Linked DNA regions of Nothobranchius furzeri. The protein of the gene in region 2 purifies or fractionates together with the protein of the main gene of each other region. This does not show direct contact. Links are inferred from orthologs where the notes say so. Each region holds a gene or a part of one and is shown on either strand. Other genes may lie near its edges.

Evidence for each region.
Region 1: the proteins of bptf (region 2) and hmgxb4a fractionate together in Homo sapiens (co-fractionation; 3 studies listed by BioGRID, with this or other methods). This does not show direct contact. The link is inferred for Nothobranchius furzeri from reciprocal best matches to the Homo sapiens genes BPTF and HMGXB4.

What each region holds. Positions count from the first base shown.
Region 1 is NC_091752.1:68,081,833-68,085,268, reverse strand, and holds the end of hmgxb4a (HMG domain-containing protein 4a), read right to left. Parts: intron 2,185-3,436; coding exon 2,088-2,184; intron 1,622-2,087; coding exon 1,458-1,621; intron 1,378-1,457; coding exon 1,255-1,377; intron 1,172-1,254; coding exon 1,127-1,171; 3' UTR 822-1,126; downstream 1-821. UniProt on the Homo sapiens protein: Negatively regulates Wnt/beta-catenin signaling during development.
Region 2 is NC_091752.1:67,662,981-67,666,804, forward strand, and holds part of bptf (nucleosome-remodeling factor subunit BPTF), read right to left. Parts: coding exon 3,278-3,824; intron 1,727-3,277; coding exon 1,602-1,726; intron 1,479-1,601; coding exon 1,350-1,478; intron 1,282-1,349; coding exon 1,131-1,281; intron 1-1,130. UniProt on the Homo sapiens protein: Regulatory subunit of the ATP-dependent NURF-1 and NURF-5 ISWI chromatin remodeling complexes, which form ordered nucleosome arrays on chromatin and facilitate access to DNA during DNA-templated processes such as DNA replication, transcription, and repair.

The DNA.
Region 1 (3,436 bases), about 420 kb from region 2:
CGATCCTGTTCCTCAGAATGGGTTCAAGTTTAGGATTCTTTGACAGAACTAATTTTTTAAGGATCTTGTCTACGGATGCCTTTAGGCGCTGATCCGAGCAGCTGCTGCGATACGCCGATGTCTTCATAAAGTCCCGGTTTCAGCTGGGAGGACCACACCCTCTTACCTCACTTCCCAGAACTCCTGCAGTGGAAACACGGTTAGCACCCAATGATGCCCATTTCTGAGCAGCACACAAAAAAACTGAACTTTTTAGCGTTTAAAACCTTTTTGTGGCCGACGAGGACCCGTGCCGGGATTTTAACCCTCTGAAAAGATCAACGGTCTTTCACAGAAATAAGTGACACAGAGACGTAGATTAGATGGAGGCGGGCTTTTATGTTACACGCGTTCTTTTCCTTTCAAATTTCTTGTAAATCTAAATACTTTACACAATGTAAAAACCCTATAAAACACGCATGAGGAATAATACTTTACATTAACAGTTAAGACGTCTTTTTACACATATTGAAGCGTTTCCGTGTAAAAGCCAGAGTCACCGTCCTACCCTACATAGCCTCCTGAATCCTGAGGACCATCAGGAGCAGCTGCCGCCACTCCATCAGCCATTCCCGCCAGAAACTGAATGTTTTAATGTCAGGACATTTAGACCCAGCGTTCCCGCTGCTTCCTGGATTTCATTCCAGTTCTCCACATATGGTTCAGTAGGTGCTACCATGCCCTCTGTTCTCATGGTCACGGTCTCCCATGAGACTAGCCGTTAGCGCGTCAGTCCTGTAGGGCGTCTACAACAAGGTAGTAACTATTTACAGAGAAACACATTAAAATGGTAAAAAATCACCTTTCAATCCCACTTAGTGGCTAAATAAGACACTCATTCATTCATAAAACAAGCTGCTGTACAGAAACAGTCCAGACCAAACCGAGGCGTCAGAAGATGTCCGATGAAATGTTGGATTTAAAAAAATTCAGCAATCAGCTCAATAAGACACGTTTCTAAAAATACACGTTAAAAACACGTAGAAAGTAGAAATATTCTGACACTACGCAGCAGCTTCAGTTAGGGGTCTCTCTCCAGGAACGGAGACCTTTGGTCAGATGGACCGTCTTCTGCGTTCGGGTCGACTCACAGTCCGGGCATGATGTAGGCGATGTTGTCCAGCGTGTTTGACTGACACAAGCAAAACAAATCATCAGGGTCATTTAAAAGTCGACAGAGTCGCAGTAAAGCAGATCTAAACTCGTGTACTGTACCAGGACGTGTCGCGGACACCCGTTCAACTGCGGTATCTGCGCCGTGAGGCAGGTCAACGGGCCAAGTGCACACAAGATGGAGTCCAGGAGGACAGACAAACTCCCGGACACCGCCACCATCCCCTAACACGACGGAACAGCGGTCAGATCCAGACTCAGGGGAAAGCTAGACGGATGTGGAGCAAACAAACGCGGGAACTCACTTCTGTTTCCTGCAGGCGGTGGCCAATCAGAGACAAGGACTCTCCCAGCAGCTGCAGGTGAGCCGCCGCATCGATGGGATCAACATCTGGGACTCGAGCTGGAGACAGGGACATGGCACCCGGGGTTCTGGTTGGTGACACCACTCCTGCCGCCATTCCTACAACTTTCATAAGAAAATAGAAATTTATCAAGCAATGGGCGACCCTGGGGGGGGGGATGATGCATAAGCGGCACGTTACATCACACGCATCTTTTCCCCATCAGCGCTTTGTTACTTTCAAACGCAGAACAAGGAAGGGTTAGCATTCCTAGCTGGTCCCACGTGGTTTCGGAGATAACAAAGAGAAAAACAACAGTAGGTATGCAACCGGAAATCTGCACTGGACTTTTATTTTGAAAGTTTGAGGATGCTTTGAACTGCTTTTGCGTTGGACTTCCTGTTGGGTCTGATCTGAACAGCAGAGCTTGACGCGTTGTGGAAGCGTTGTGTGTTAAATTATACCCGAAGCGTAAGTTTAACTACCAGGGCAGTCCTCGCTGCCGGTAAAAGCACCCGTCCTCTGGACGGTTCTCGGACGTTCCGCAGAGTTTACGTGTCTGGTGGAAAGCCCCGGTTAGTTCACAGATACCTTTGCTTTTGGCGTCGTTGGAGGTTTTGTGCTTGACGGTAGTGGCCTCAGCTTTGTTCTGTTTGTGCTGCAGATGCTGAGCTTTCTGCCTCCAGACCTGAAAAACAAAAACACACAGGACATCACTCCGTATGCTACCACGTCCACGTAGGGATGGGTACCTTTGACATTTGAATCGATCCGGTACTAATTCCCGGTACCTAGGAATCGATACCGGTACTTAACGGTACCAATTTTTGATACTTTTGAGTGTTTAATATTTTAATTCTCTTTTATAATTAAATATATATTTTTCTCAATATATAACCATATTTGATAAATATCATGATAAATAACATACAACTGGTTGTATTTTAACATCGTCCTTGTAGTTTTATAAGCTGATAATTAAACTGAAGCAAACATCTTTACTGTGAACTAAATTTACTGTGTATCTTCATTCCTTTTGCCGTCCTTTTTCATTTGATTTTTCCTACTGGGAAGTTAGAATTTCCGAGGAGAAAGTGAACGCACCATTAGCTGATAACAACGGTGGCAATGGAAGCTAACAGATCAAGCTAACGTTATCTTAAACAGTTTATTTAGCTGCTGGAGCAGATTAAAACGATGATGCCTCACAGTTAGATCGTTGTCGCTGGTTTCATCTTCACCCAATCACCCGTCGCCTTGAGTAAAGTGAACCCAAACTTTAGAGCGCGTTCATGTTCTTCTAGTCGGAAATTCGGAGTTCCGAGGAGAAAGCGAACGCACCATTAGCGAAACGGAAGCTAACATATCAAGCTAACGTTATCTTAAATATTTTATTTACCTACCGGAGCAGATTAAGATGAGGATGTCTCACTTAGATCGTTGTCGCTGGTTTCATCATCACCCAGTTACCCATCACATTTATGGGCCATTCCCATCTGTACCGGGTCGGCCCGGGCCGGGTAGCGTAGGTTGTTTACATATCTGGGTGGCCTGGTATTTTTCCGGGCCATTCAAGGCTCATTCTCAGCCCTCTTCTCGAGGGGGTCTGCTTCAGGACGACCAGGACCAACACACCCACTGCTGACAGCAAATCCACACCTTCCATTAGAGCAAGCCTCTGATTGGTGGGTAGAATCAGCCCACATGGGCTCAAGACAAGGATGTGTGGAATCAACCGGGCCAGGCTGGGGCCGACTGGGACTACCCGGCCCGGGCCGACCCGGTACAGATGGGAATGGCCCATTAGTGAAGTGGACCCAAGCTTTAGCGTGCGTTCTTTCTACCGTGCTGCTCTGTTTACAACTCGCTCGCAGGGACCGACGACGTAACGCTCTTGCGCATGCACAGCTGTCTAGGCAAGTTCTCGTTATGAAGGACGG
Region 2 (3,824 bases):
TGTTTTTTTCATTCAAAATAAAAACGAATAAAACATATAAACAATAATACATAACAACAAATCTAATTTGAATGAAAAGGAGCAGAATGAAGAAAAACATCTTATAACTTCTGCCCCCTTTTCCAGAAGAAATAATCCATTTATATACAATTTCCATTCGTCAGACTCACACACACACACACACACACACACACACACACACACACACACACACACACACACACACACACACACACACACACACACACACACACACACACACACACACACACACACACACACACACACACACACACACACACACACACACACACACACACATTTTAAATCTTTTCCTGTTCTAAATTCCAGAGCGATCATGGTCGTTGGTTTAATTCACATTTTCATAATTATTTAGTACACTCAGTTTGGTACATTTCTGAATATATTAAATGACAGAGTATTTTTATTCCCTTTTAAGGTTATTCCCTAATTTAACACATTTACAGATATATTCCACTCCTTAACTTTAGTTCTAAATCTGGGTTTTGTAAACACATCAGTTTCTTTCAGCGTGTAATTACTAGTTCTCTTTTCAGATATCCCCTGAATGTTTGTTGGCAGAGTACCTAAACTGGCTTTATACATGTTTGTGTGATTTTCCAGTCTTTTAAATCATGAAATTTCAATAATTTATATTTAATATTCAACAGGTTTGATGGATCTCTACAGCCACTATAACTGATGATGCTCAGAGCTCTTTTCTGTAAAATAAATGAGGGTTGTGTATAGTTTTTGTATGTTGTTCCCCAGTGAATTGTACAACACCAACAAACCAGAATTAGTCAGTAAAACTCGACTCTATGTAATACTCCTATGGATTTGGCAATTTTACATTTTCTGTAACTAATACAGGATTTCCATGTCAAGTCTTCATCGATAAGAACTCGAACAAATTTAGTTTTAAAACTTACTTCTGCATATTGTCAAAAGTCAGGAATAAAAATCTGTTTTCAGCTCATAAATGATGCATTTACATTTAAAATGCAGGACTTTGTAAAGTCACACACAAGTGCGGACTTTCTCAAACGCTTGCTGAACTTCTCTGCGACGGCGCTGACCCGCAGCCGTGCCTGAAGCGTGCTGCTCACCTCTCTGCGAAGGCTCGGATCTCCCACAGCTCCAGCTCCTCTTCAGGTACCCACGTCTCCACGGCGACGGGGCCAGTCTGCTTGGCAGGCTCCTGCTTCTTCGGCCTCAGAGCGCTTGAGCGCAGACCTTTCCTCTGCGGGGTTGGCGTTTCTGTTCACGGACGTAATGGAGTGGTTAGTTAATAACGTTTAAGTCATGATGACGGTGAGCATTCCCACCTTTGGGAGCATCCTTGTTCTCGAGGGGACAGATGATCTTCCTGATGCAGTATTCCGAGCGAATGCCGTACAGCCCCACGTCTCTCCTTTTGATGATCTCGGTGGTGACGACGTTGGTTTCTGTGGTTTCTAGAACAAAAACACAAACTTGTCCCGACTCATACGGACGTTCCATCCCATAATGAACAAGCTCCCTCAGTTCCTCGTGACTACCTGACATAACAGGTAGGTGAAGCGATAGAGGTTGCTCACCTTTACGCGTCGTCCCGACAGCTGAAGAGGGCTTCACCGCCATGTCGTCCCACCTGAGAGAGGCCCACAGCAGCCTCAGCATCAAGCTAACGCCGGCCAGAGACTTCACCGTCTGGAGGCGGTACCTGAGGAGGAGACAGCCGCTGAGAAGGTGTTCACGCTTCCACCATCCACGAGTCTAACAACCAGCTTCTGGCATTAGAACAGATCTAATATCACCAAATACATCCAGATGTTCTCCACCTTATCGACCTGCTAACATGTCACTAACGACAGCTGAATTTAACCTTCTCTTGATTCTCAACTCGGCATAAAAATCAAACTTTTAACCAAAGAAACAAATGAATAACCTGAATTAACTTAAATATTCGGGATGTACGGAAAGATCGATATGGCAATATATCGCGATATTTGATTATATCAAAAGCCGTGTGATTAATTTTTGGAAGAATTTACATTCAAATAGTTGTGTTTTCTTTTGGTGCAATTCAAACACCTGCCACTAGTTGGCAGCGGTGTGCAGTGGGTTTTATTTCCACCACTGAAATGTAAATCCCTCTGTTATGGTTCAGATATCTCATGTAAACATGTTGCATATCGATTAGGACAGTTTTTTTTAATTTTCCTAAAATAACTTCAGTCTTAAAAAAAAAAAATCACTAATATCGTCTGATTGAATTTATCGCAATATGTCGTGATACATTGCCTCTTCTCCCGTGTCGTGATACATATCGCCAAAATTTCACCAATACACATCCCTACAGTCAGGACACAGATTCACGGCGAGGCGTCCTTCCGGTACTACGGTCCTCGCCTCTGGAACGAGCTGCCAGGGGACCTCAGGGCCGCAGAGAGCGTTCATGTTTTTAGAAACAGGCTCAAGACCCATCTTTTTAGCTTAGCTTTTAACTGATTACTATCACTTTTTAAATTAATTAATTAGGTTATTTATTTTATGCATTCTTTTATTATATGTGCTATTTTTAAACCGCTTTTATTTATATATATATAAATTAACCATTGATTTATGATCAACATTATTTGAATATCTATATAACTTTTTTTAATTAAAATTTTCATTTTAGCTCTTATGATTTTATATTTTAACCTTAATTTAACCTTTTGCCGGTGTTTCCTCTGTGGGAGCCCTCTGCCCCCGGGACGGAGGTCGGCTGTGGCGGCCTGGGTGCTTTCCAGGTGTGCCTGGGAGGAGGTGGGGGTCTCCGCCCTCCCTGCCCTGGGCGCCCTGTGTCTGTGCCTGGGCTGCTGCTGTCGGGGCGGATGGCTCCCCTGATGGCGTTTCCTTATCTTAGCTGGTCTGGCTCATCTAAACTCAGTCCATAGTTTTTCCCGGGGGGGGGGGGGGGGGGGGGGGTGCGCATGTGTGTGTGCGTGCCGGAGGATGAGTGTTGTGAAGGGCTTTTTATTGTCAGACTGTTTTTAAAATTCTGGGGATGGGAGGGAATGCAGGGCCTTTTTAATTTGTTAAGCACTTTGAGTTACATGCATTGTAGGATTAAGTGCTACATAAATAAAGTTTGATTTAATTTGATCCCTAATAAATAACGTCAACAAAAATATTCATCGTATTTCTAACTCGGCATTGATTTACCTTAATCTCTTATAGAGAATAAAAGCTCTGAGAAAAAAGTAACTCTTCTTGATTCGTCACTAACCTCCACGCAATCCCAAAGGTGGGTCGCGGTGATGGGTAGGGCCAAATGTCCAAAGCGGGTTTGGCGTTGTAGCTAAAGATCAGCACCTCTTTAATGCCCGCCTTCCTCGCCATCCTCTTCAGGTCGTCGTTGGGCAGCACGAAGATGCTCTTCTTGCTGCTCTTGGTCACAAACTTACGGTAGGATGGTAGCGCCATGCCCGAGCGGGCCTTCTTGGACTTGAAGAAGCGGAGAAGGCTGACCCTGTCTCTAGTGGAGTACTCTTTACTGATGGTCATGGAGCTGGGCGATACGGGACCAGAGGAGCCCGATTTTGTGTCGTTTAGTTTTTTCTTATGGAAGCTAGCGGTTCCTGAGCTGGGCTGGGCGGCAGCGACGACAGAGGGAGCCACGCTCGTTTCCGCTGGAGGCACGACGTCAGGCTTGCCAACGCTGCCGGAAGCGCAGTGCATCAGGGAATTCTGGGACTCCTTTGACGAGGAGCTAGTAACGGGTGTCTTTACTGCATCACCGCCAGTGCAAACGTCTGTGCTGTTATTGTGGCGAG